4 linked regions of the Tamandua tetradactyla genome follow. The protein of the gene in region 2 interacts with the protein of the main gene of each other region in a pairwise test. Links are inferred from orthologs where the notes say so. Each region holds a gene or a part of one and is shown on either strand. Other genes may lie near its edges. The genes, in order: MFAP1, LDOC1, ZBTB16 and LATS1.

The links.
Region 1: the proteins of LDOC1 (region 2) and MFAP1 interact in binary tests that used the Homo sapiens proteins (3 or more experiments, as listed by UniProt). The two-hybrid records come from large-scale screens. The link is inferred for Tamandua tetradactyla from reciprocal best matches to the Homo sapiens genes LDOC1 and MFAP1.
Region 3: the proteins of LDOC1 (region 2) and ZBTB16 interact in binary tests that used the Homo sapiens proteins (3 or more experiments, as listed by UniProt). The two-hybrid records come from large-scale screens. The link is inferred for Tamandua tetradactyla from reciprocal best matches to the Homo sapiens genes LDOC1 and ZBTB16.
Region 4: the proteins of LDOC1 (region 2) and LATS1 interact in a two-hybrid assay, tested with the Homo sapiens proteins (2 studies listed by BioGRID and IntAct). The two-hybrid records come from large-scale screens. The link is inferred for Tamandua tetradactyla from reciprocal best matches to the Homo sapiens genes LDOC1 and LATS1.

The regions. Positions count from the first base shown.
Region 1 is NC_135340.1:58,064,174-58,072,079, forward strand, and holds the start of MFAP1 (microfibrillar-associated protein 1), read right to left. Parts: upstream 3,022-7,906; 5' UTR 2,860-3,021; coding exon 2,781-2,859; intron 1-2,780. Other genes in the region: WDR76 (WD repeat-containing protein 76), read left to right, coding at 5,119-5,175, 5,833-6,231. UniProt on the Homo sapiens protein: Involved in pre-mRNA splicing as a component of the spliceosome.
Region 2 is NC_135353.1:16,899,019-16,905,020, forward strand, and holds LDOC1 (protein LDOC1), read right to left. Parts: upstream 1,879-6,002; 5' UTR 1,759-1,878; coding exon 1,318-1,758; 3' UTR 513-1,317; downstream 1-512. UniProt on the Homo sapiens protein: May have an important role in the development and/or progression of some cancers.
Region 3 is NC_135334.1:26,938,971-26,946,835, forward strand, and holds the start of ZBTB16 (zinc finger and BTB domain-containing protein 16), read right to left. Parts: upstream 3,008-7,865; 5' UTR 2,813-3,007; intron 2,301-2,812; exon of another isoform or gene 2,002-2,300; intron 1,929-2,001; exon of another isoform or gene 1,742-1,928; intron 1-1,741. UniProt on the Homo sapiens protein: Acts as a transcriptional repressor. Transcriptional repression may be mediated through recruitment of histone deacetylases to target promoters. May play a role in myeloid maturation and in the development and/or maintenance of other differentiated tissues.
Region 4 is NC_135328.1:141,250,539-141,257,698, reverse strand, and holds the start of LATS1 (serine/threonine-protein kinase LATS1), read left to right. Parts: upstream 1-4,142; 5' UTR 4,143-4,373; exon of another isoform or gene 4,374-4,689; intron 4,690-7,160. UniProt on the Homo sapiens protein: Negative regulator of YAP1 in the Hippo signaling pathway that plays a pivotal role in organ size control and tumor suppression by restricting proliferation and promoting apoptosis.

The sequences.
Region 1 (7,906 bases), on a different chromosome or scaffold from region 2:
AGGAAAACATAAGGTGGATTTCATTTATGAACATAGATACAAAAAATACTAAAAAACATAAAGCAAATTTATTCCAGCAATATAAAAACAAACAAACAAAAACCTCAAGCCATCATGACAGATTAAGATTTAGCTCAGGACTACAGGGGATGGTTTAAACTTAGAAAAACAGAGGGTATTCTTATTTTGTTCCTATCACACCTTCTAGTCGACAGTGTATTATGATTCTAAGTTGGGCAAGAAGAAAAAGGAAGAGATAAATGGTGTAAGGACTAAAAAGAAAGAAACTGCCATAATTTACAACCATATGATTCTCTATGTAGAAAATACAAGATAGACAAGCCCAGAAAGTTCAAGCTCAGAGAGCTGAATAAAAGACCTACATATAAAAATGAATTTATCTGTACATTGGTTCATATAGTTAGAAAACGTAGTTTAAAAATATAATTTATAAAAGCAACTAATCTATAAAGAACCTAGGAATAAAACTCAAGAAATGAGATGCAAGGTTTTAGGAAGAATAATAAAAAATTTTACTGAGCGATATGAAAGATCTAATTAAATGTTTTATTGAGAAATACATCATGTTCATGAGAAGACGGTGACCATGCCTGAGTTAATCTATAAATTTACAATTTTTAATGTAGTTCCATTCCCCAGATTGATTTGAAAATCATATGGAAAGGGAGGCTAAGAGCCAAGACGGTTCTGAAGACAAATGAAAGGTCCTCTGTACCACATAATGTGGAGGTTCCCTGTACCAGAGCAAGGCTTATTTAAAGTTATAATATTTAAATAATATATTCAGATTATAAAGGTTTTCTAACATATAAGTGTTATATGCACAATTATTCAAATAGGCTCTAAGTTAAAGATCTTTCAGTTTAGTAGGGGATGTAAATATTTAAGATGTTTTTCATACTTTGGTCTTTAATTCATCTGGAATTTTGTTTGTATGTGGTATGAGTTAGGGATCTAATTTTACCTTTTACCATATGGTTAGCTAATTGTCCCCACTCCATTGACTGAATAGCCCATCCATTTCCCACTGATTTTTTTTTTTTTTTTTGGTATGGGCAGGCATCGGGAATGGAACCCGGGTCTTGGGCATGGCAGGTGAGAACTCTACCTACTGAGTTACCGTGGCCCACCTTCCAACTCTCCCATTTTATTTTCATTTCCCACTAATTTTTAATACTACTTCAATACAGCAAGTTCTCAGACGTGTCTTTTCTGTCCTTTCTGTTCTGCTGGTCTCTATGTACCCCTAACATCACATAAAGACAAAATTCAGATGAATTAAATACCCAAACATGAAAAAATCTAAAACATTTACATCCCCTACTAAACTGTAAGATCCTTAACTCATTTGTATCATTATACACACAACACTGAGATGTTAGAAAACGTTTAGAGACTGAATATCTATGATCTCATTGTAGGGAAAGATTTCTTAATATGCACAAAAAGCATAAACCATAAAAAATATATAATTACACTAAAACTAAAAATATTTCTGTAACAGAAGACTCCATAATTAAAGTTACAAGAAGAGCCAAAAAAAAAAAAAAGAGGGAAAAAGACATTACAGATTTGAAATGTATGAAAATAAAACCAAACAAAAAATGGGCAAATGAAAAAAACATGTAATTCACAGAAGATAAAACCCAGAGAGCTGAAAAATACACAAGCAAAATGCCCAGTCTCACCTGTAATCAGGGAAATGCAAATTAAAGTATTGTACTACCATTTCACAACTATTAAACATAAATTTAAAAATCTGATACAACTAAGTGTATGGATGACTACATGGGGAAATAAAAACTCTTTTTCCCTTGTAACCCATTTTGGAGATCAATTTAGCAATAGGTAGTAAAGTTGATGATGAACTCCAGGAGTCTACCCTAGAGAAATTCTCATTCACACATTTAAGAATGATGACTGTAGCACTGTTTGTAATTTGTAAGCTATAGTTTAGTTGTCATGTAATTCATAAGCAGTTAAAATTAATTAAATCTATGTGTACTGGAAGGATAATTCTCAAAAGTCATGTTATTTAAAAAGAAAGGCAAGCGGCACAGGGGTAGGTATAGTATACTTATAAAGCAAAAAAGAAAGAACTGATAATATTTTCCAACTTCCTTACTGAAAAAACTGGCTGTTCCACAGCACTTGGTTTATACCTATTGGACAGGAACCACAAGACTGTACACTGCTTAGAATGTGCCTCTTTTTGCATGTCTTACGTCTACTAGAATATGAGTTCTTGAAGGTTATAGGCACTGCCCCACACCACTTTATATTCAATTTAATAAGCACAGCCACTGCATTCGTTGAAAGGGATGTAAAGCTGAATAAGACATGGTTCCTGCCTCAAGGAGCTTATAAAATTATGATCTAGCAAAGGGGAAACAGGCGCATAAATATCTTTGATAAGTTATAATAACAACATTAACAAGCTACCATGTGGGATAAAAAAGGAACTGCAGGCATTCAGTATACATTAGTCTATGAATCGATGGAGGCCAAGGGAAGAGAGGTGCTTTACGTAAAAGCAGGCAGGCCATAAAAACAAGCTCAGATACAAGTGGTTTTGCCCCCCCTCCCCCCAATACTCCATCTCCCCAGACAATGCGATCAGGTGCGAGTTTAAGGTGGGAAGGTCGAAGAAACTGGAGGACGTGTCGGCAGGGTTGGGGTGGTCGGCTCGGGGGATGGGTTGGGAAGATGCTGGGGCAGAAACAGGTAAGATCCCACTGCAAAGAGGCTCAGCACAGTACCTTTCTCATTGCGAACTGGAACGGCTCCAGCCGTAGACTGAATGGGCGGTTGTTTCATGAGTGCGCTTGGGACCGACATGTTGATGGCAGCGGCGGTGACTCCCAGAACCTAACTGATTCTAAACAGTGAACACGACAACGTCAACCAACAAGAAAAAAACTTCCCCCTAGGTCCACCGGACGCGGGTGCAAGACTGAGGGAAACTCCACTTGCGTCTGGGCTAGACAAACCGGAAATATGTGACCAGAGGATTGTGGGATATTGGAGGACGCCTGGGCGCCTGTGCCTAGGAGGGCGAATCTGTTACTGCGCATGTTCATAGACTGACTTCGCGTCTTCAATATTGCAGGATTTGGAAGCCGCTTCTGGCGGGAAATTGCTTCCTTTAGGCTTTGCGACGAAGAAGGTCCGAATCAAAAGTTTCGCTTGTTATCTTGGTTTGAAGCCGAGGGTAATGGTGTAGTGATGAAGGAGAAATTGAGGAGATAGTGAGGGGTTGCTTGTCCTGATTGTTGAAATTTCAGAAGGATTAGAATTGGGTCCGGATAGTAATCCTGCTAATAATGGCATCTTAATTAGCTTAGTTAATGAGGCTGTGGTGGCCTGAGGTATGGTATTTAGGTCACACGCTAGCAGGTGGTGGTGGTTTTGGCCAGTTGCAAGGAAAAAAAAAAATCCCGAAGCGCCTAGGAAAATACCTGAAATTCCAGCACTCCATTTTAGGCTTTTCAGGTTCTTTCAGTTTCTGGAGGACGACTATTAGAATACTTTTTTTTTTTTTTTGCAGGAAAGTGTTTGTAGATTAACAGCCAATAAGTAATGATTGAATACTAACTGTGTTCACCAGGCTTAGCTGTTCGTAAGGAGTATGTAATATTAAAAGACTGGCATCCTTATGTTGCTTGGATTCTAATTTGAAAGTTTTCAAGGACATCTAGAATCATAATAGAAACCGCCCCAATTTACTAGCTACGTTGTATTAAAAAATGGCTAATTGGAAGTCAGAACACATTTTAGGGGACAAAGGAAATAATGTGGCGGGAAAGAGAAAAATTACAGGGTACCTGTGGGATACCATGAAGTTTGGGTTTATCTGCTAGTAACTTTTTAATATGAGAGTGGTGAAAGTTGTGTGAGTATCAGATCATGGAGAGACTTGAAAGATGCTTTAATATGATTAATTCTCAAATTATTTCATCTGTGTTCTAAAACTTAGCTTAGTCTGGAAGAAGAATTGAAATTGGGCAAAGGACATTGGGTGGCCAAAGTAACCAATCAAGGGAGCAATTTGGGGCTAGGATGAAAAGGGCCTTAAAGACAATTTTCTATTAATGGATTTATCAACTCAAAAAATTATGGTATCAAGAGGGAGTAAATCTGATGGGAAGGCAATTGTTTTGGCTCATAGTAACTCAAAATATAGAAAAAAGTTTTAATATGGATATGACTAGAAATACAGTGCACTAAAATCTTGTAATTTGTGTGTATATATATATATATGTGTGTGAGCATCCATTATTGCAGCACCATTTCTTGAATTTGGTTGGTTGGTTGGTTTTTTGTTTGTTTGTTTGCTTACTTGCTTGTTTGTTTTTGGGAAGTGCATGGGCCAGAATCAACCGGGTCTCTCGCATGGCATGCGAGAATTCTACCTTTGAACTACTCTTGCACCCCTGCAACTTATAGTTTGATACACAAATTATTTGATTTGTAACTCCTTCTTTCCAGCCTCTGGGCCATTTAAAGTCATCATTAGGGTCATGGTTAACCGGTAGGAAGATAGTCAAATATGAATTTTAAATCAGTTATCAGCCCTTGAAAAAAATCAAAATGCTTCCCTTCGTAGGGAGAAGATCCTGCAGTAGCAGTAGGTTAAGTTGGTGATGGGGTAATAAGGAGCCAGTGGGCCAAGGTATAGGCTGCATGTTGATTTTGTTGTACCTTCCCTACATTGCACACCCAATCTAGGTGCTTCTCAGTCTTTCCCAGGCTACATCTCCAAGGCAAATGAGCTACTTTTTCAAAGCGAGAACCCGGCAATACCAGAATTAAAATCACCGGCATTCAAGGTAAAACTGCCGATTAGGTCCCACCGCATCCTTAAAGCATTTTAATCTTAGGGTGAGGCAGGTAAACCTGCCTTCGTCAATGCTGATCACAGTCCTCCCCGCCCGGCCAGCTGACACCTGAGCCTGGAAGCGCCTGGGGGGGGGCGCGGGGCGGCTTCTCGCACCCGCCGGGCTCCGCCCCTCACGGCCAGGCCCCTCCCACCGCCGCCTCCCGCCGATCTGTTGGCGGGAAGGCGCCAGCTGCTGAGAGCCAAAACGTGTCCGAAACATGTCCGGGTCCTGCGCGGCGTCTGGGGAGGAGGTGGGCTCCAGGCAGCGACCCCAGGTAAGGGTGAGAATCGGGTTGACACCTTCTGGTGTTCTTCTCCTTCAGTATTCTTGAGGCAATCTTCCCGGCACAGGCCCGAAAGCACGGGTATATGGCCCAGGGTACTTCTGCGCTCTTAAATTATTCCCCGCCCTGGGTGCAGATTGCTGGGCTTTTTTGGGGGGTGTTGCTTCAAAAGATAAGCGAGATTCCCTGCTATGTTTTTTCTCTGTGGAAAACTAGGCCTTCAGTGTTGAGAAAAGTTCTTGTCAATAACCTCAGAGATAGCGGCACACATCGGATTAGGCACTCCTTTTCTCCTGCCCCCTGCGTTTGCATTTGTAGTTATTGTCAGCGTCACAGTAAACAATTCTAAAGTTTCAGAAGCTGACAGTTGGGATAGTCTTGTCAGTTAAAAATTGTAGTCCTAATTATTGCTCTGACAAACTCATATATGCAAGAAATGGGCTAGTATAATAATTACATTCAGTTAAATGAATTAGGTATCGATTTTGAAGGGGAAGAAAAGTTTTTCTTACAGCTTATCACTTTGGATTTATATTGTGATTAAGATATAGGAATTAGATTTATTTTTACAGATCTATTGGGGACCTTGTAAGAAAAAGCGTAAGACCTGAGTTTCTAATACTGTTTTTCCTTTACTGACCTGAATAGGTGAATGAATATAAAGAAAATGAAACCATCACTTCTGTATCTCTGAGACCAATTCAGTCTCCAGTTTTAGGAAAATCAGTTAAGTTTTGTCTTATCCCCTTTTCACTCTGTAATTACAAACTAGACCAATTTAAGTACTCTAAATCCCTATTAGAAAAGAATTCTAACAAGGAAGTAGTGCTGTGTAAGAAGACTGAAATAAAGAAAATTTGCAGAGGGATTTTAACTCCAAATATGGAAACCACTTCCGAGGCAGAATCCACTCTGCAAAAATCATCCTTAGATGTTCATACTGAAAATAACAAGTTACTGCCGAGCACTTCAGATGCAGTGTTTCTCAGTGTTGATGTGGAAAGCTGTCAGGATCGAGACAGTGATGGAGATACCACACCAGGCCTGGTAAGAATTTAATTAGTTGTTTGTTTTAATTTTTCTTATTGTTTTGAAATTTGAGGTTCTGAGAAGTTAAGGTTATCAAGGGTCTCTCTTGGCCAAACAAATTATTTTGTCATCTAATGGATTGAATTGAAATTTTATTATTTTAAAAATATTTAACCAGTTAGTTCCTTGGGTTAATTTTTCTCTTGGTTTTGATGTGTTGAAGAGAGATTGACTTTCAGTCTTCACTCTGCTTCCCTCTCAGGTTATTGCATATGGTTTTGGGTTTACACATTCAATTATAGCTTTTTTTTTTTGTCATGGGCACGCACTGGGAATTGAGCCCAGGTTTCTGGCATGGCAGGGGAGAACTCTTTCACTGAGCCACCATGGTCTGTCCTCAATTATGGCATTTTACTTATTTTACCTTTACATTACCCGTATATTAGAAGAAGTCAACTTGTGGGACATGTGACATTTGAGTGAGCCTTCATGGAAGGGTAGGAAAACCATCATTAATTGCATTGATGTATTCAGTAATAGTTCCTTTCAAATACAGAGACAGATGAAACACTTATCAGTTCTGTATAAAATAATAGCTTGAATCAGTTTATGGAACTAGGTATCTCATTCCTTTGGCTTCTACTACCTTTCTGGAGTGTTGTGCTCTGTTCAGTGACAAATTTTACTTAAGCCAAATTGAGACCATAGCACATGACAGCAGGTTGATGGAACTAGGGGAATAAAAAGTGATGGTAGAGAGAGGAAGGTATGATAATTGAAGCGTTGTTGTTATGAATTAGGAATTAGATTTATGCTTTATTGTCCCAGAGGTGAGAAAGGACCTATGGTGGGAGAGCACTGGGTGAGTCATACACGTGGACACTTGGAAGTTGGGATCTCTGCATTCAACTTCTAAGAGACTGTGTGCCTTTAGGCAAATTACCTTTACAATGAGAAGATTGGGTTAGATCGTAGTTGTCAAATTTTAACCTTTATCAGAGTTGCCTGGAGGGCTTGTCAAAACATGACTGCTGGGTCCCAACCCTAGAGTTTCTGATTTCAGAAGTTTTGTGGTAGGGAATAGAATTTGCACGTCCTAGAGACATTGATGCTGCTAGTCTGGAATTGCACTTTGATAACCACTGGATTAAATGATCTCTTTGGCAGATTTTAGTTTGATGTGAGGAATTAGAACATGAGGTGGTGTGTACAATATAGTCAAGCAGAGTCATAAATGCCCAGTATAAATTTTCTTAGGACAAACTGCAATATATAACATTTTTTATAGAATACTTCATTCTTTTGTTGTCTTTCCTTGTATTAAATGTCCTTTTGAAATAAAATGACTAAGGCTTTCTGACACCATGCTTTAGTTTATAAGGTCATCCTTTTCCAAGTGAAGAGAGGCTTTTGTCATATCATAGATAAGAGTCTTGGCCTGCAAGTCTAAGATTTTGTACTAATTTCTTGGAAATTTTCTAAATTTTATCTCCCACCCCTTCTATTAAATATTTTCATTTCACAAAGAATTTCTTAACAGTTACTTTTGAGATAATTCTATACTTAACAGAAGAGTCGCACAGTAGTACGGAGAGCGCCCATATACGTTCACCCTCCCTCCCGTTATGTTAATATCTTTTACAACAATCGAGCATTTATCAAACTAAGAAATTAACCTTAGTCCAATATTGTT
Region 2 (6,002 bases):
AACTCAAGCACCTGAAAATAGCATTAAAACAATGTTACTTGGATAACTGAAGCCTGAACTCAGCTGCAGCTCAGAAGCAATAAGGAGTAGTGTCCAGAACTTCCCTGGCAGTGTTGAGAAAGGAATCCAAAAGGGATCAAGGAAATAGGAATGTTGTACATGTATCCAGGTCTACGCCTGTGGTACAAGTCTAATTATTAATAGCCTCCCCTTTCACTCTCTAAACTGTCCGTGTGTGGGATGATGTGCCACCTTATCAGCCACCCATGCCACCCTAGAGGGCCCAGAGGACACTCCCTTCACCAAGGCTTTAAGAAATACCTTGGTGAGGAGAGCACCAATATCCCTATAAAGCCCCGTGGTGGCTGTCTTCCATGCCTTACAGATGACAGTAAGGAATGCTGTAACCAAACTGGGTTACCTGATCTCAGTGGGAATACAGGAAGCCAGAGTAGAAGGGAGAAAGATCAGTGATAGCACTTAATCATTAAGAGACAATAATTTCTTTTTTTTTTTAGTAGTGCTTGATATTTATTGAAAAGAATGAAAAGGTTTTTTCCAGGTAGCACTGAGGAGGAGGGCTGAGAGCCTGTTTTCCTTCATTTGGTTTATTTTTAGTTTTTTGTCCAAATGCATACATCTGTGGGACCGCTGCAATTTTGGAAGAAAAATGACAAGTGTGCAAGACTGGGTGCGCAGGAGAAAAAGAATGTCACGATTTGGCTACCACGTATACGAGGCCCCTGCAGCAATCTAGTGGGGCAGGGGAGGACTCTGGGAGTAGGTAGGAAACAAAACAGGCTGAAACACTAGCCCTCTTCTGGGGTTGGTGGGCTGTCCAAATCAGCGTCCAAGGAGGTGTAGCCAACTCAGGCAGCTTTGAGGTTGGTCCTTATCTCCAAAGGCGATGATCTGTGGCGATGTGATGTGTGCAGGTGAAGTGGCAGCGTAGGTCTCTGGGCAGATGCAGGCCTGGCAGCAGCACCGCTGTGGTGTTGTCTGTCCAGTGTGTCGCAGGGACCTGGCCCACCACTGGGGCTCAGGACACAGTCCATATTCGCAGGGGAGGGGTTCTGGGGCTGGCAGAGTGGAAAGGCAGGTAGAGCACTTCAGAGCAGCAGGTAACTGGAGCACTCCTTTGAACAAAGGCAAGCTCTACGAGGGGACTGGGCAGGGGGAGGGAAGAGGGCCAGAGCAAGAAGAGGAGTGTGGCGGCTTCCAGAGAGGGGAAAGAGGAGAGGAAGGAGAAGAGGAGGAGGGTGGCGGCGACGTGCGGGGGCATCTAACCCCCTACCCTAGGCCCTGGGCTCTCTGGGCCTAGTAAATGTCATCTTCATCGTCATCGTCGTCGTCTTCGCCGTCATCCCAGCCAAAGTACTGCTTCATCTCATCGAGGAAGGCCCGGTAATCACCAAGGATGGGGCTGTCCATCTCGATGTAGGGAACCACCCACTCCTCGGCTTCCCCGCTGAGGAGGCTGATTAGGAATGCGACCTTCATGGCGTCGTTGCAAAACCGGTTCTCGTTCACGAGCATGTAAGACGCCGTCTGCACGATAAACTCGGGGAGCCGGGAGCTCTCGCCGTTAAACGTTTCCGGGAAGGGCACCGGGCAGCTGGGCGGACGTACCTGGCGCAGCAGGCTAGCTCTCTCGCACACCAGCAGCCGCAGCTGCTCCATGAGCTGGCTGTTCTCGATGCTCAGAGCACGATGCCGCATCAGGAGGGCGTGCAGCAGCAACACCAGTTCGTCCACCATCGCGAACCGCTCAGAGGGGTCCACTCGATTCGGCTCGGTCAAGGTCCACACAGAAGCCTCGCAGGAAGTGCGTGTCCGCCGAGACGCGCCGCCAAGAAGGGCGGAGGGTGGTGCGCGCCGGGGGCCAGGCGGCTGCGCAGGCCCCGCCCACAAGGCCTCAAGGGCGGTCGGCGCGCCAGCCCGGCGCGAGGAGGGTGTGGTCAGAGGAGGGGCCGGCCGACCCTGGGAACCGCCGCTGAACTGCAGCCAAGCCCCGAAGCGGCGCCCTGCTGGAACCCAAGGACCCAGAGGGCAGGAAGACCTTACTTCAGAGGGCAGACCCGCTCAAGTTGAAAAGATTAGCCATCCCACCGCACCTTCGACTGCCTCGCACAATTCAGTTTTCTTTCGTGCATCTGCGGACACCAGATTCCATTTGCGTGAAGTTCTGTTAACACATTTCCCTGCTTTTGAATATAGACTCACCCAGAAGATTATCGATTTGGCCCTACTGACCACAGAAGTGCTTGTCTTGCGGGAGTCACAAATCCTTACAGAGACATGAAGAAAACGGTATTTAAGCAGGGACTTTTCTGGAGTTAGAAAATAATGTTGTACACTTCCTCCTTTTTAACTTTTTCTTAATAGTGCGGTATAAAAATTTCTGCAAAATCAGCATCTGATAATCTTTTGCAGGCAGACTTTATTTCATAGTCTAATATTAGTAATGCCCCTCGACCACGGGTATTATGCATTTCTTAGCAATGAATAAGCTGCTTGTGCTTCTAAATGATTTTGCGTTTCTTCTTTGAATAATCACATTCAAACTTGTTGAGCAATTCAGTTGGCCCACGACTTTAGAATGCACATAGCGTTTTGGCTCTGCTTTTTAAAATAAATCGCCAATTTAATCACTTCTTATCACTTCCACTTCCACTACCCTGATTCAAGCTTTCGTTTCTTACTCAGAGGGCTTCAAATGATCACTGAGCTTTCACTCTTGATCTCTGACAGTCTATTCTTCACGGAGTAGCCACAAAAAGCCTTCGCACAAAGGTCATATCCCATCACCCACCCTGCTCAAAACCCTCCAACAGTTTCCCCTCTCAGAATAAAAATCAAAGTCCTGGATGGCCTCCAGGGCACTAACTTGTCAGTGACTGGCCACTGGCTCTCTCTGACTCACTCCAGTCTCTTCCCATCCCTAGCTCTGCTCTAACCACACTGTCCTAGCTGATTCTTTTTGTTTGTTGGTTTGTAAATATTTTTATTGAGAAATCTTCATACACATGCATTCCATACATGGTATACAATCACATACATACATTCTATACATGGTGTACAATCAGTGGCTTACAATATAATCACACAGTTGTGTATCCATCACCATGGTCGTTTTTAGAACATTTGCATCACTCCGGAAAAAGAAATAAAAAGAAAAAAGAAAAAACTCACACAATCCAAACCCCTTACCCTCCCTCATTGACCACTAGTATTTCCATCTACCCAATTTATATTATCCTTTGCCCTCCTATTATTTATTTATTTTTATCTTTCTTTTCTTTACTCATCTATCCATATCCTGGATAAAAGGAGCCATCAGCCACAAGGTTTTCACAATCACACAGCCACATTGTAAAAGTGATATCTTTATACAATTGTCTTCAAGAATCCAGGCTACTGGAACACAACTCAACAATTTCAGGTACTTCCCTCCAGCCACTGCAATACATCATAAACTAAAAAGGGATATCTATATAATGCATAAGAATAACCTCCAGGATAAACTTTCGACTCTGTTTGAAATCTCTGAGCCACTGAAACTTCATTTTGTCTCATTTCTCTCTTCCCCCTTTTGGTCAAGAAGGCTCTCCCAACCCCCTTGATGCCAAGTGCCAGCTCATCCCAGGATTTCTGTCCCACGTTGCCATGGAAATTTACACCCCTGGGAGTCATGCCACACATGGGAGGGAGGGCAGTGAGTTCACCTGCTGAGTTGAGTGCCTTCATTCTTGCTATTTCCTCTACCTTGGAAGGATGTCTCCCCAGTTAGTTTTGGAGTAGATTTACCTGACTACTCCGTCTATTGGAACGCCTGGCCCTCTGCTACTTACCCTGCTTCATTTTTCTACATAGCACTAGTTACACCAGTGGCCATCATATTATGTAGCACTTTTATCATTTTATGACTCCACCTTTAGAATGTAATTCCATGCAGACAGGGATTTTGCTTTGTTAGCTGTAACTGTCCCTAAAGCTGAGAAAAACCTAAGGCCCAGAATAGGTGCTCCTTGAATGTTTGGGTAGGGAAGGAAGCTCAGGGTACAGGTGTAAAGATAAAAATTAGAAGTGATGGTTGCACAGTATCCAAAAATACTCTTTAAATTATCCCATATGTTCTATCTGTAATCATGAATCATTCCAACGTGAAGTGAGAATTGGCATAATAAAAATTGCAACTGGATATTTTAAAACCTTGTTCAGTCTTTTGCTATAGAACTGAATGGTCACCCCTGGAAAAGCGAGGCTGGGAGAGAGGAGAGAAACAGGGTCAAGTTTCAAGTAGCAAGGAAAAGAAGAGTCATTAGGAGAGAGGGTGGGCAGGGAAAAGAAGAAGTAAGTGGGAATGTGAACCCCTAGCCCTCCTGTGATATGATCTACCCCTTCCCCCCTTAGACATAAGCTCCTTGAGGGCGGAGCAAAGGCCCTCTCTCTTTCATCCTTTCATCTTCATCATCTGAAAGTGTTACTAGGTGTGCCATATATGTTCAGTGGATGGAATAAAGGGATCTGAAATGTTGGGGGGAAGATTTTTGGCCATCCTGCACATTCACAGGTCAGATTAGACAAGAGCCTGGCTGGGGTAGAGGCAAATGTCCAGCTCTACCTTTTAGGTCCAGGCTCTGATATGGAAGAAATGCCCAGGGTTCTACTCCCAGGAACACACAAGCTGTGACAGGTACTGGGCCGTGTGACTGACCTGGGCTGTCAAATCAACCCATGCACAAAGGCCATGTTACAGAGGTGGGTACTACACCCTATTCTTATTAGACAAGGATACTGAGACCCAGGAGTTACTGACTTGGCTAAGGCCAGGTATTGTAGTTTGCTACCTGCCAGAATATGATATACCAGAAACAGAACAGCTGTTTATTATTATTATTATTGTTTCATTTTTAAATACCAAAAAACACTAAACAAAAGCAAACATTCTTATTTTGATCATTCCGTTCTACATATATAATCAGTAATTCACAATATCATCACATAGTTGCATATTCATCATCATGATCATTTCTGAGAACATTTGCATCTATTCAGAAGAAGAAGTAAAACTAAAACAGAAAAAATATGCATATATACCACAACCCTTACCCCTCCCTTTCATTGATCACTAGCATTTCAGAACAGCTTTTAAAATGGGGTATTTTATAAGTTGCAAGTTTGCAGTTGTAAGGCCATGAAGGTGTCCCAATTAAAGCAAGTCTATAAAAATGTTCAAATTAAGGCACCAGCAAGAGGTTACCTTCCCTCAAGAAAGGCTGATACAGTTCAGGGTTTCTCTCTCAACTGGAAAGGCACATGGTGAATATGGCGATGTCAGCTAGCTTTCTCTCCAAGCTTCCTTTTTCATGAAGCTCCCCCGGGGGTGTATTCCTTCTTCATCTCTGAAGGTCTCTGGCTGCCTGGACTCTCTGCTCCATGGTTCTTTCCAAAATGCTTCTAAGACCCACGTGGAATGGGTGGAGTCACATCTCCCTCTAAACCAAGGTTAATATCCATAATTGGTATGTCAAAGCTCCACATAGATAATCTACTCAAAGAATACCAGCCTGCATTATTGAATATGGATTAAAATAAACATTGCTGGGCGGGCCGCGGTGGCTCAGCGGGCAAAGTGCTTGCCTGCTATGCCGGAGGACCTCGGTTCGATTCCCGGCCCCAGCCCATGTAACAAAAACAAAGAGAAACAAAATACAATAAAACAAGAAAATGTTTAAAAGATGTTTCCCTTTCTTCCTTCCTTCCTTCCTTCTATCCTTCCTTCCTTCTCTCTGTCTTTCCTTTAAAAAAAAATAAATAAATAAACATTGCTCCCACAAGATTTGATTAGGATTAAGCCATGTCTTTTCTTGGGTGCATAATCCTTTCAAACCAACACACCAGGACTCAAAAATATTGGCCACATTGTACCACAACCCAGCCTCTCTGACCCTAAAGCACATGCCTTTCCACTGGACAAAATTAATGCACTGGGCTCCTGG
Region 3 (7,865 bases), on a different chromosome or scaffold from region 2:
GGCAAGTCCTGTGACCAGGAGTGGCAGCGAAGCTGGACATGGCTCCCAGGCGCTAGAAGCTCTATTGGCACCAGCATCCACAGAGGGCCTTACAACCAGTATGAAGAGAAAACAGGCTGAGAGACAAAGGCCTCTCCCAGAGCCGGGCTGGGATCATTAACAGGGCTCTAGGACTCCCCAACCTGTTCAAGGAATGTTAGAAAGACTTCACTGGCTCAGGTTCCTCCCAACCTGCGGCTTGCTGTGGTCAATATTGCAGCAAACACAGTGGGAGCAAAGCAAAGCAAGGTTTCTTACTTGCTCTTAGAACACTGCTTGCCTCCGCCCCCAAAAGAAGACCTATTGGTTCCAGTCACAGCACTCGGGCAGAGAGGGTTAAAGGGACGGCTAGTCAAGACACCTCTGCTGCCCACCCCGGGGTGGGGGCCGAAGCCGTCAAGAGTAGGGTGGTCATTCACCTGCCCCTAGCCAGCTTTCCAGCAAAACTCGGGATATCAAGGAACTAAAAGGAAGCAGACGAAAAAATGGAAGCTTGGCTACCCAACTGCCTCGCCAAAACAAATTTCTGGGGTTCCAAGGACATCAAGGTGCTTCTTGGTCAGATGTCTCCCGACCCCACAGCTCGGCGCCCGCGATCAGGCCAGCGCTGGCTGCAGCGCCCAGCCCGGCGACACGGGAAAAAACTGGCGCTAAACCTCTCGATCCCTGAGGATCGGTCGTGCTTTCACACACACTCCCAGTTCCCAGCGACCCCCACGCAGACTTAGAGAACACTTCAGCAAACTTGGGGAATCAACTTTTCCCGGAAAGCCAAACAGCAGAAAGAAAGGACGCGGGACTAAGAAGGAGGGAAAGCGAAAGAGACGTGGCTGAAAGGCGAAGAGTCCAGGCGGGCTGGACAGCCACCGCGAGAGCGGCGAGGAGACGGACCCGCCCCGGAGCGCACAGAAAGCACAAAAGCCCTGCAGCGAGTGGTAGGAGAAAAACCGAGCTGGGGTCGTCCGCTCCTCTCTCCCACCCAGGGCCGTCACCCCCAGGGAGCGATGGGCAGGGTCCCCAGACTCGGACCGGGGTGCAGGCAAGCGCCAGCAGCCAGCCTGCGCGGGGTTCCAAGCATCTCTCGGAGCGGACGAGAAGGTGGTTGTGAAGCGCGTCTGTGCGTTCAAGGAGGTCCGCGTTCCGGCGGGATCGTGCGCGTTTCCAGCGCACGAGAGTCGGTGTGTGCCTGCATGCGTGTGAGGGAAGGAGTGTTCTAGGGACTGCGCGAGCGTGCCGCCGGTGCGCGAGTGTGAGAAAAGCATCCCGAACGCATCAGGTGCAGAGCCCAGGCACCCACCGAGCGCGGCCGGGAGCGCACGGCGAGCTCCGGCCCCTCGGCCAGTCCCGCCGAGAACCGAGGGCCCAGGGCCTTGGAGACCCTACAGAGCTCCGTGTGACTGCCCCCTAAAATAGAGTGAGCGAGAGAAAAAGAGCCCACCACGTTTCTCAAAGAGAAACAAAACCCAAGCGAGTCCCTTTCCTGCTCCCTTCCACCCCCAGAATCACTCCTCTGATCCTCCGATTCCAGGTTCCCCGTCGGCGGGCGAATAAACACACAAATAAATAAACCACAAGCCGTTCTCGCGGCCGCGCACCCGTCCTCATACACATGAGCACCCACCAGATCCCGGCTCCTCCGCCTGCCCCTGAAGGTACAAAGCCACCCTATCCCCAGTAGACCTCTCTGTCCCCCACCTCTCACCCCGACAGTGCCCTGCAAGGGAGAGGTTGAAGAAGCAGCTGCGTCCAAACTGACAGCCCGGGCTCCCCTTCTAGCCGACTCCCCAACCGGCGGAGGCGACGGCTGCAGCAGCAGGGAAGGAAAAAGGCCGAAGCAAATAAGGCACAATCAAGCGGCCGAGTGGCCGAAGCGAGCGCGCTCCCCGAGACCTCTCCAGCCCCGGGGCGCCCGGGTGCGCGGCGCTCGCTGGGCGGTGCGCCCCTCCCCGACCCTCCACTCACCGCTGCGGAGCCGGGCGCCGTGGGGTGGATGTGCGTGCCTGTGGGGTGGGGGGTGTGCCTGTGTCTGGAAAGGGTGTTGCTGGGGAACTGTTGCTCTCGGTATCACAGCGGCAGCGGCGGCATAGCCCGGCAGTTCGCAGTACCCGCTCTCATCACCCTCAACTCCTCTCTGCTGCGAGGTTAGCAAATCACCACCGGCTGCGGCGCCTCCGCCGCGTCCCACGTCAACGTCGAGCCCCCTCCCCTGCGAGGCCCCGGCGCCTCTCCATCTTTAGTGCTGGCGGCCGAGCCCGGCTCCCTGCCCACAGCTGCCCCCCTTCCCTCCCCCTCGCTCGCAGTCCCCGGGCTCAGCCCGCCCACCCCCAACACTGGCCGAGCCGGCGCGCGCTCCCAGCCCCACCCCTCCCCTCCCCTCTCTCCTCCCTTCCCCTCCCTTACTCCGCGCTCCGCGCTCCGGGCTTCGCCTGACATCTAGCTGCTGCTAGGGCGCCGGCGGTCGCCGCTCGCCGATCTAACCGAGAGGAGCGAAGGAGCGAGTGGAGAGGAGTGCACGGCACTCGGAACGCTTGATGGGGGCAGTAGGGACACGAGTTCTGCTTTCTCACGGTGCTCCCGGTTGGAATTTTATCCTGGGTTCCAGTTTGCTCCAATTCAGCGTATCAGCTCTCGCCTTTCACTTTTTCCCCGGACTCGGGGTGTATCCCTAGTGCCTACATACACACATTTACACACACACACAAAAGGCTGACTTCCTAATCCAAGCCCACGCTCCCCATCGTCCCGCCAGCTACGCGCCTCGGGCGGTGCGCACCTGGATTGCAAGAAGTCTCCGGGCGCAGAATTTGCGTTCCCTGGTGATTCCAGTGCCAGAGGGTCCGCAGGGATCAGTCGTTGAGGAGAGCCACCCATTTTAGCTGTCGCGGTCGCTGAAGGCCGAGTTCGCGGCCTGACAAACTTTTCTCCCTCTCAGCCTTGTACATCCCCTCGGCTCTACCCCCCAGGAACCTGGCTGCGCCCTGCTCCAAGCTCAGTTTGGAGAAGCTTTGGGCCCTTCAAATGTACCTCCTCCTCTCAACTGGCCGCCCCAGTTAAGTGCCCCTGAAACATGCCTTTCCTCAGGCGGCGGAGAGCGTCTCTCTCCCCTTTTCCCTGTTGCTGGGCAAGGGAAGATAGTTTGAGGTGGGAAGCGCTCCTCCGAGCCCAGGCTTCGGCGGAATAACACCCTAGAGCGTCCGGGTGGAGAGGATGGCTGGAGAGCGCCATCCAGGGGTCTCGGGATAGTCAGCCGGGAGGATATGGCAGTCTTAGCAATGAGAGGCGTCAATCACCGCCTCCTGGAACAGGACCCGTCGGTGAAACGCGTGGGTCGAAGGTTTTCTACTGGGCTCACGTATAATCACATCCCGACGCGCCCCTCTGGCACTGCCTCAGGTCGAGTCAGGCTGCAGAGTAATGGAAGACGGCGGAAGCCGACTGGTGGCAAAAGTCGGCATCCATCCTCAGAAGGCCAGAATGCAGAGTTTACATATCAGAACTGATCCGGGTACCAAAGAACTGCTAATAGGATAGTTCCAAGCACCAATCATTCCATCCCAGGAAGTATTGCTTTTGTCTCCTACTTGCAAGAAAAGTGTTCAGACTTGCTGAATTAGGACTCAAACGCAGCAGGTTGTGTAGGAGAGAAGACCGGTCAGGAAGCCCCCTTGGAAATGCAGGCGGGGAACCACTTATCCTCAGATAGTGTGCACACCACCCCAAACCCGGGCATGGTGTAGCCCAGTCCATGGGTGTTCAATTTTGATTAACAATAATGTGCAATTCCTATTTAGAGACTACTATTTTCCTAGCTATAGCCAGTGCACTGGGTAAGAGGAAAGGAATTTAGAGGAAGTTAAGAACTGCTCTGCACAGAGGGCAAGAGGGGAGGGAAGTGAGGAGAAAAGACCCTCCTAATGTCTCACTAGGGAAACAGAAAGAAGAATCATTAAACTTACTGGGCTCTCTGGATGTGGAAGGCAGAAGGGAGCCTCCTGGCTGTTCACATCCACCTACCAGCCCCTCCACAATCTGGTAGCAGGAGAAGCACACAATTAACCCCTGATCCTAATCTCCTATTCATCCTCAAATCAGAGAAAGAGAGAATCTCTGGAAACAATGGAAGAGAAAGAACAATCCCTCCCTGGCCCTGGACTCTCCCACCCCCATGCCATATTCACTCTATGTGAAAATCTCGCTTGCTTCATAAACTCTGCCCATTAAAAAAGCCTGGCCCTTGTTAGTAAGTGTTAAAGAGAGATTACTGCCTGAATTTAAGAGGTGGAGAAGGTAACAAAAAGGAGGAAAGGCAGGCAAGGCTGTGGGCTGAATGCCAGCCTTGGGCTCCAAGCATTTTCACTTAGGGCTGAAGGCTGGCTGCACAGCAGTTTGATAAGGTTTATTGGGCCCAGATAAAGCAGCAGCAGCTTCCCCACCAAAACTGGCACTGTTTATAGCCAGGCTGTGTCCTTGGGTCCTGGAATGGCTGATGAGAATCCGCAGTTCAGAGATTTCATATGGCAACACCTAAAAACAAACAGGATGGAAAACTACTATGGGAAACTGTCTTTTCTTTTTAATGTTCCTGGATTTGTGATGAATTTTTATTTTTGTTTTAAAGGGTGTTGTGAGAGAAGTTGGGACATTGCTTCTGGAGGAGAGACAGTCCCTGAGAGAGATCATGCTGGAGACTAGGAAACAGAATGAGGTCCATTGCTAGATTTTCCTATTCGTTCTTGTCCTCCTTCGCCTCCTGCCTCCCTCCAGTGGCACCCTTTCAGAGCTCAGTTTTAGAAGAGGAGGGTACACCTGGTCTAAGAGAACTTGCAGATCTATGAATGCAAACGTACTACCAATGTTTGATTTAACCCTTGTAATAACCCTATTAACACAGGTACTATTATTATAGATGAGAAAACTAAAGCCTTTTCCAAGATCATAGAGCTATTAAAACATCAGAGTTTAAATCAGACCATTCTGACTGAAAATCTCATGCATTTAACATCTGTATTACACAGCCTCTAGCGAGATAGGAAACTTCAAAAGTCAAACAAGGACTTTTAATTATCCTCCTCTTTCTCCATTGAGGGCATGGTCTATGCAGCAGCCAGCCCAGCTAACAACCAAAGAGTTCTCCATTGAATCAGTCCACCAAGTAAAGTGGAGTTAGATCCCCTAAGGTTCTTTGCAATTTTCTTTTTCAGAATCTCAGGCAGAAGTTGGGGGAGGGAGTTTTGAATTACAATAAAGCTTCAACTAAACAGATACCCAAGAAGAAGGCTATAGTGGTCTTTAGAGTATTCTGATTGAGCATTAATGGAATGCTACAACTCTTTTTATTCCAACTCCTGTCTGAAAGAATTTTTAAAGTATAAATGTAAACTTTCTTATTATGATAAATGAATCAAGGAAGCCTACCTTTGGGGGAGAAGAATCTACTTGGCATTTCCCTCAAAACCTTGTGATGGGTGGGGAATGAGGCATTTTCAGGGAAGGGTGCAGGCAATGAAGCCTCTGAATGGAAAAGAATAGACCCCCACTCAACTGAGAACTCCAGGTGGCCCTTGGAGTAAAGCTGTCACTCTACTCTCAGATCTTTACCCCAGTAGGGACTCTTAGGGGGAGACACAGCAAGCCTATTGTGTCCTTTCCTGGAGGCAAAGGATCTTACAATGCTGCAGTGTCACCACTCCAGACATCTACTAGATAGATGCAGGTCATGTAAAAAAAAATTATACCAAAGAGGGTACACGGGCAGTTCAGTGGTTAGAATGGCCACCTTCCATGCGGGAGACCCGGGTTCAATTCCCGGACCATGCACCCCACCACCCCCCCCAAAAAAAGACATCATGTTGAATGAAATAAGCTAGACAGCAAAGGACAAATGTTGTATGTTTATATGAAATAATTTAGAATATGTAAATTCATAGAGTCAGAAACTAGAATACAGGTTGCCAGGGTCTAGGGTGCTGGTGAAGAATGGAGAGTTATTGCTTAATTGGTACAGAGTTTCTGTTTGGGGTGATGGAAAAGGTTTGGTAATCGATGATGATGGTGGTAGCACAACACAGCGAAGCAGTTAACACCACTGAATTGTATATTTGAAAGTGGATAAAATGGAAATTTAAGTCTGCATATATGTTACCAGAATTAAAAAAAATACAAACCACCATGGAACTGTACAACACAAAGAATGAACCCTAATATAAACTGCACACTATAGTTAATAGTATAATTATAATAATATTGTTTCATCGATTGTAACAGGGGTATTTAACACTAATGCAAAATGTTAATAATAGGGAAAACTGAAGGGGACTGATTATTTGGGAACTTTGTACTTTATGGGTGATTTTTCAGTAAGCCTACCACTACTCAAATAAATAAATAAAACAAATAAGTAAATAGACCCAGTATAATTTGCCCCCAATACATAGGTTGGCAGTTTTCTTTGTTTGTGGAGTTCAGGCCTTTCATATTACTTCCTTAGATGCCACCTCAAAAAGAAACGGAGGCAAATAATCAGGTGGTGTGTGGATTCTGGTTAATTGAGGGCCAGAAAACCAAATAAAAAGATGGCTCCTTTGATTAGACAGTGCCATCATCCCTCTTTTCCCTGAGGAGCTCTGGTTAGCGGTATTTACAAACTTGGCCTTCTCTTCCACTTGCTAAATATGCCCTCCCTCTAGTCCGTAGGGCAGAGAGTTGCTCAGAGGGCAAGGAAGAGGGGTTATTTCTTTTGGCCCCTAGGGCTTTGGGTCACAGTGACCCCGAGATCCTCATGATTGAAGAAGAGACAGCTTTTTCTTCTCTTTCATTCTCTTTCTCTCTCCAGCATATTGCAAATGGTGTTGGGACTTAATGTTGTCAACTCAAATAGCAAATCTGAGTTGTTATTAGTGCAAAGATGCCCTGAGGGGGTAGGCAGTGTGGATGAAATCTGCAGCGGATGTTATGGGGAAGTGTGTTTATAATTATAATGGGATTTAATGTACACTGGGACCAGATGATGGCAGCCATTTAAAAAAAAGATGCTTAATAAGAGAGGTCCCTTAATGATAGGCAGCAGGGCTCAGGTTATTATGGAAGATGCACAGTGTTTCACTGGGTGTCACAAACCATGTGCCAGGTTTTATGGGGTTCCTAACAGAGCTTTGGAGTGAGGCATAGCAACCTCTGCTGTCAGTTATTGGGCATAATGTTTTAACATTGTTGTCTTTGAAAGAGAGCATACGGACTTAGAAAAAAAGCATTTTCTCTCTTTTGGATACACATACCCACATAAGCACAAACACACAGGCCCCGGGCCAACATTGAGGAGTTTGGGGTGTTTTTGGAAATCTGCTTTGTTCCAAGAAAGACAGCCTCGATTTTAAAAACAAAATTTTGTAGCTACCAAGGGGTAGGGATGCATTTTCCATACAGTGTGCATGAAATGAAGCCACATGATTCCCATTATGGGTAATGGGAGTCCCACAGCTAAATCCACAGACACTGTGCTGAAAATTAACCCCCAAGTTCTCATCTGAAACGGCCTTTTAAAAACACTTTGGTGTTTCTTTGGGGGTGGGGGGCGGGTGGGGGGTGGCTAGGAAGAGGGGAAGTATGTAACATTTCCTTATGCTGTTTAACTTTAAATAGCCTTCTGTTTAACTTGTTTCCCTTTATGGATTTCAATACAACAATTTTCATTTTTAACAGCCCCTGTTTTCTAACAGGAGTCCTATAGTTATGGACAAAGCCTGGAAGCGCCTAGGAAGGCAAGGGACTCCTCAGAGAGACCACCAGCAGCACCAGAGTCCGGGAATACAACCCCATGTCGTCTTTAC
Region 4 (7,160 bases), on a different chromosome or scaffold from region 2:
GAGAAAAGAGATTAATAAAATCCTGATGATCAATTTAGCACATTATTTCTGTTACTCAGGATTCTAGATGAGGGGTCATCCTATTTGAGACAAGTCTTGAGAAAATGAACAAGAAAAATCACAGGAATCAATTGTCTAACAAAGAACTGGAAACCTTGACTACACTTGCACAAATTAAGACATCTGATGTATAATGTGATGGGACCCTACTCTTCTGACCTTGATTTCCACAACCTGTGTGATTCCAAATCCTTCCCTTAGATCGTATGAGTTGGGGAAGGTTGATATGCTCAGGACCACATTGGTCTCCACACTTCATAGATGTGGGCTACCTCTTCCTTGGTACAAGCACCCAAGCATAAATTTGGCCCCCATTATCTATTGCTAATGACAAAATGAAACCACAACCACCCCCCATAAAACATTGAAGGGTTTTCTATAACAGCAAAAGAAAAACCTTCAAATGCAATGTCAGTCTTTGCCATTCTTACATGTCCAGCATCCCTTTCATGCTGCACAGTTACAGCCACTTTCCATCTTGTCAGTTGTACCTTCTCTCCTGATCATTCCTTGTCTCCTTTCCCTGATCTTCTCCCCTACTACTTCATAGTAGTAAATCTTCTCATAGTCCCACACAGGGCAATGCACTGCACTCCTTGAATTATCTAAAAATTTTTCTAAGGACAATGGTTTACAAATATAGGCTCCTTTAGGCTTAAAGAAAACCAAGGAGTTTAAGTGAAGAAGATTCTTAGATTGGTGACAGAGGTGACAAGACTCTGGGGGCAATAGGATCTTACAGATGTATACTGGTGATGGTACCACAATATTGTGATTGCTACTAATCTACCGAATAACACACCTGAAAGTAGTTAAAATGGGAAATTTTGAGTTATGTATGTTGCTACAATGAAAAGCTAAAAAAAAAATTAGACTTCTTTTCCTGATGTTAAAGTAACTAGTGGCGACTGTATCCAGAAATTCAAATGAAAAAATGCTTTTAAAATAAAAGATTAAGTTCCAATCTGTGAAAGTTAGGGGATATGACCGGAGGTGGGCCACTTAATAGCCCTAGGTGTTATTTTCTTCAAATGGAGGATTAAATAACATTTAGGTTCCTTTCGGCCCTAAAATTATATGAATTATATGAACTAATATATTCACATACCTGCTTGTCTTACTCAGGATTGTGTATCTGAATATTTTATTGCAGTAATATATGTACAACTCAACATTTCCCATTTTAACCACTTTCAGAGGTGCAATTCAGTAGTAACATTCACAATATTGTGTTACTATCACCAATATTCATTACCCCAACTTTTTAAACACCTCAAACAGAACCTCTGCTCTCATTAAGCAATAACTCTCTCTTCCCCTCCCTACCCCCTGGTAATCTATAATCTATTATCTGTCTCTATAAAATTTGCTTCTTTTAGGTATTGTATATAAGTAGGATCATACAATATTTGTCTTTTTGTGTCTGGCTTATTTCACTCAATGTCTTCAGGGTTCACCTGTGTTCTAGCACATATAGCACATATCAGAATTTCATTACTTTTTACAGTTGAAAAAGATCCCATTATATGTATATACATTTTGTTTATCCATTCATCTGTTGATGGACACATCCACCTTTTGGCTACCTTTGGGGATAACCCTACTATGAACTTTAGTGTACAAGTATCTGTTCAAGTCAGATACTTCCAGTTTTTGGGATTGTGCTGGTTTGAAGCTCTTACGTACCACAGAAAAGACCATGTCTTTTAATCCATTCTTGTAGGTATGGACCTATTGTGGGTGGGACCTTTTTGTTAGGTTATTTCAATTGAGATGTGACACACCCCATTCAAGGTGGGTCTTGATCCTTTTACTAGAGTTCTTTGTGACAGGATAAAAGACAGAAAAAGAAAAAGCCCAGGGATCTCATAGAGAAACACTCAGAGCTTGGAGAGAAAAACCCCCAGAGGACCTAAGAGGACCCACAGAGGAAGCCACTAGAACCAGACCTGAAGGCAACGAAACCTGGGACACTGGCCATGTGCCTTCCCATCTGACAGAGGTGTCTCAGATGCTGGCAGCACAGAGATACCTGTGCTCTGCGTTAACTGGGATGTTTTCTGCCGTAATTGGGATATTTTCATGACCTAAGAACTGTAAATTGTAAATTAATAAATCCTCATTGTAAATGTCAACCCATTTCTGGTATATATTGCAGCATAGCAAACTGACACAGGAGTATATACCAAGAAGTGGAATTGCTGGGTCATATGCTAGCTTATTTTCTTAAAACAAAAATTTTACTCTAACAGAAAAAGGAACAAAGGAGATATTTGAAAATGCTATTTGTATATATTTTCTAGGGCTGGAACTGGCAAGGCTTTGTTCACAAAGGGTGGACAGTGCCTCCAAACATCACAAACCCAGTGACTATTAAGCCTGAATTATGTACCGCAACCATATACAAGTTCTTCATCTTAGTCTACATTCCTGTAGCTGTGAACACATTGTAAACAAAACTTTAAGATGTTATTTTAATTAAGGTGTGAGGAACTGACACAGGGTGGGCCTTAATCCATATTACTAGAAGCTTTATAAAGAGAAGTTAGAGAAGCTCAGAGAAGGTCATAGAGCAGCCAGGAGCCAGAAGCTAGCAGTCAGCAGAAACCCAAGGAGCAGACACAAGGAGAGATCATCACGTGACAGGAGGCAGAGATGCAAGTCAAGGAACCCCAAGGATTGTGGCAACTACACAATTTGGGAAAAGAAAGCATGGTCTTGCTCCTGCCTTGAGTGTGGACTTCTAGCCTTACAAACTGTGAGCCAATAAATTCCTGTTGCTAAGCCAACACATTGTGTGGTATTTGTCATAGCAGCCTGGTTGTGGTTCATGTGCGGACTTGGTCAGGTGATGGTGCCCAGTTGTGTGGTCAAGCAAGTACTGGCCTAACCATTATTCAAAAACATTTCCTGGCTGGTTTATAAACCAAAAGACTGGTTTATTAAATCATCAGTCAGTTGACTGCATCTGTGGCTGATTACACCTACAATCAACTAAAGGAGTATCTTCCACAATGAGAAAATCCAATCAGTTGAAGCCTTTTAATTTAAAGCAATCAGTTGAAGATTTTTAAGGGAGAAGAGAGAACCTTCATTTCTTCAGCAAGCCTCTCCAGAGGCTTTGTCGGAGTGGCCTGTTATCAACTGGCCCTATGGAATTTGGACTCATGCATGTCTCACAGGTGCATGAAACACTTTTATAAAATTTCATATTTATAGATATTTCATTTTGGTTCTGTTTCTCTAAATAACCCAAATAGATTGGCAAACTAAGACACCCACTGATCCTATTCCAAACTTTCAATTCAACTTAACAGGAAATAAAACTCACATCCCTCACTCTTATTCTAATTATAGCAATATTACCTCTCTTTCTATCTAAATGGTGGACAAAGATCTAAAAGCTGTTCAACAATTTGCCGTGATCAAGGAAGGTATTATTTGGCTGATTTCAGAAAATACATATTCTTGAAGCTCAAAGGTGTATTAAGGGTAAAGTATGATAAACAAATCAAAGCCTCTAGAAATCCTGAATCTGATGTCCACAGCGAGGTTTCAGAATGCAACTCACTGCTGTTTCCTTCTTCAGAGAATTAAGCTCCTGAAGACCGATCCATAGAAAGAACTCTACAGATAAAAGAGAAAGATCGAAATAGAAAGGGGTAGGCATGGGCGGGGGAAGGGCCTTGTCCCACAAACGGGGCGAATCATTGGACCGAAAAAGGCAGGCGCCACATGGGCGAAGCTCACTGACTTGCAGCAGAGAGGCGCCGGCCGAAATCTGGAGTTCCGGGTCCAGGAAGACTCATCCAGGACCCGGGCTCAGGGGTAGGGCCCGGGATCGGAGGTCCATAGGGCCCGGGTGCTGGTTCCCAAGGTCAGAAGGTCTAGGGATCCGGGGTCACCGGGTCTTAAGGGTTTGGTCGGGGACCCGAGTCCTGGGAACCTGAAGACCGGACCGGGGTCCACCGGCATCGCGCTCGCTCCAGTGGAGTCTGGCTCTAGGGTGCCTGCCAGCGAGATCCCGCCAGACCTGACCGCGCAAGCGACGCCGGGAAATGCCCACATCCGGGAAACCTGCGGCGGCGGCGACGGAGTGGAAGGCAAAATGGCGACGGTGGTGGTGGCGCTAGTGGCCTGGTGCTGAGCGGAAAACCAGGTGCCCGCGACTTCGCGACGGGTGCTGCCCGCCTCTCCTTGTCTGCTCCCTCTTTTCCTCCCGGGATATTTGGGGCCCCGCAACGCGCTCCGGCAGCCTCGGTGCCCGCCACGGGCCCGTGGCCGCTGTCCAGGAGTCCCGCTCTCCCCTGCAGGTAGGTCTGGGGCGGTATAGCGGGTTCAGCTTCCTCTCCTCCCAAGCCCTAGTCTATGGGGTTGTGGCCGCCGGTCTACGCGGTCCCCGCTAGCTTGGGTCCAGGGGCTGCTGCAGGCTGGCAAACCGAAGGCCGGAGCCGGCCTGTGCGGGCCGAACCCGCCTCTGGCGATGGTCGGAACCGATCCTTGCCCCGGGAACCCGCGCCTGGCCTGCAGGGAGAGCCTCCAGGCCTTGGGCCTCCGAGGAGCCGCTCTGCCGGGCAGAGCCTGCGGTGCCGGTGGCAGCCGGCGAACTGTCAGCCTGCGCTCTCTTCCGCCCACCCCCACGCATGAGTCCCGCGTGTCTGTCTGTCGTGACCAGGGTGGAAGGTCAAGAGAAAACAGTAAAAGAGAAGAAGTTATTCTAAATCTAGTGAAAAGTAAGTATAGTCTCACTCAAAAAAAAAAAAAAAAATACTGTTGTATCACTTCAGCTTTTAAAATGGATTTGAGTGCCCGGGAACATGAAACTTGTCAGGCTTTTACAGATTGTTTATGGAAGGTTAAAAATGTTTCATTTCCTCCAGGAGAAAGAAATTATAATTGAAATGGATATTCTGTACTACGATACTAAGGTTTGTAATTGTTTTAACTCAGAATACTTCTGTCCTTTAATACATTGACAGGTAAAATGGGCTCGTTGATTTCCTAAGGCAGGGGAGGAATTTGACTGATTTAACAGTAAAAGAAGTAGCATTGTGCTCTTCTGATCGGCTGCTAAGGGAGAAACTAGATCATGGCCCATGCGGTGGAAAGAACATTCTTTTTAATCCTACCTATTGATTGAATGTGCTTTGCTATTCTCTAAAAGCAAGTAAAAAAATTCTTCTACTAACATTTTTTTTGTACGATATCGGGATTCCAACCAATATTTAATTTTTGTGTGTAATGCTAGTCCCTGTTCTAAATTATAGTGTTGGAACAGTCAGAACTCTGGCTACTTAGTTTTATCATTCTAAATGTTATATTTAGGTCAATGAGGGATTTTTGTAAATCACAAGATTTTTGTTAGGTAAGAATGGCAATCAGTTTTTCAGTATGAAGATAAATATAGTGATTATTTTCAGTTTCAATCATTAATTCTTAGAAAATGACTCAAAATGTCAGTATTGCATAAATTCAAACAACTAAGACGATGAAGACTTATGCTGCTAAGAAAGAAGCAGCACATATTACTGCTGATATTCTCATAACTGATCGATTTGAAAAATTGAGAAAGGCCATGTTTTTATAATCCTAGTGCAACCCAATGTAACTCTTGGAAATCTTATTATGTAACAGTTCCAGTTTTATTCCTTAGCATTGGCAAGATACTCAACAGTATTTGTTTGCATTTACTGATGTTTGTACTTTTGATGAAAGTCTGAACTTTCAAGGAAGTGGAGACTTTAAGACTGTTCATTCTAACCAATTTAAGTAACCCATCTGTGAATGTGCGAGTCATGACCCTACCCTCAGGAAGCTCAGGATGTATAAAATAACCTTGGGCTGGGCCAGGTTATGTGGAGTTTATATGTAGAGTCCAGCTGGCTATAAGATCTTGGGCAGGCCACTTTGCTTCTCTGGATCCCTTTCCTCATCTGAAAATGTTATTTCCAGTATACCCTATACTTTGTGAATGTGTGATCTAGTTTGAAAAATAAAACAAGAACATGAATAGAACAAAAAACATGGTCATATTTATTTAAACTCATGTAAAGTGCATTTGGAGTTCAGAGGAGAATAACAGTTGGGAGTTCAGTGAAAGCTTTAGTGAAAAAGGAAGTTTTTGGATGGGGCCTTGAGGATTGGGTATAATTTCTTTAAAAAGAAATATGGCAGGATGCTACAGTTTGGTACCATTTAGTCCCATGGGTTTGAAATCCAGAAACAAGTGTAATCTTTTGTGATTTTAAAATGACTGTTAAAGGAAAGTTTGTTTTGTTCCTTTGAATTTGGTGGGGAGGAGTCTGCTGGAGAGCTTTGCCCTGGTGTTTAATGCTTATTGTGAGAAGTGGAACCACAAAACCATAGAGCATGTAAAGTGCCCCAAAATTAAAATGGAAGATTTAATTTAGTACAATTCATTTACCATTATTTATAAATATCAGTAAGTTGCACTGCTATTAGTAATTAAAAATAAAAGCAATTGGTCATAGTTAAAAAATAAATGGTAGGGTTCATGACCAAAAGGGGGAAAAGAGTTGTAACAAAATAAGGTATCAGTGGCTGAGAGAGTTCAGATAGAGTCAAGAGGCTATTCTGGAGGTTACTCTTACACAAGCTTCACCTAGATATTGTTATTTACCATGGTTTGCCAAACCCCAACTAAAACCATTCCTACCAGCCCTAAAAATCACCCAGGGCTTTATTGGAGATTCTACAAAGATTCCATGCATTATGAATACTTTTCAGAAACCTACAACCTCCAGAGGGATTCCTAGGCCAGATAAGTTCTAAAACCCAGAGGAACTAGCCTCTCCAAGAACATCAACTAGTTCCATACCCCTATCCCATATTATCAACACCCCTTTCCAACATGAGAAACTTAGAATGGGCATAGCCCAAATACCCCTAAAGATTGGGAGAATGATCAAAGGAGAAGGTGGAATTTTAACAGAGAAGGTAGAATGAGTATGATTGCTGAATCATTACATTGATATTTCTTTTAGTCTCCCAGTGTCTTGGAGCAGCTAGAAGGAAGAACCTAAAATTGTGGAACTGTAACCCATACCAAACTCTGGAATCGGTTCTATAACTAATTGTTG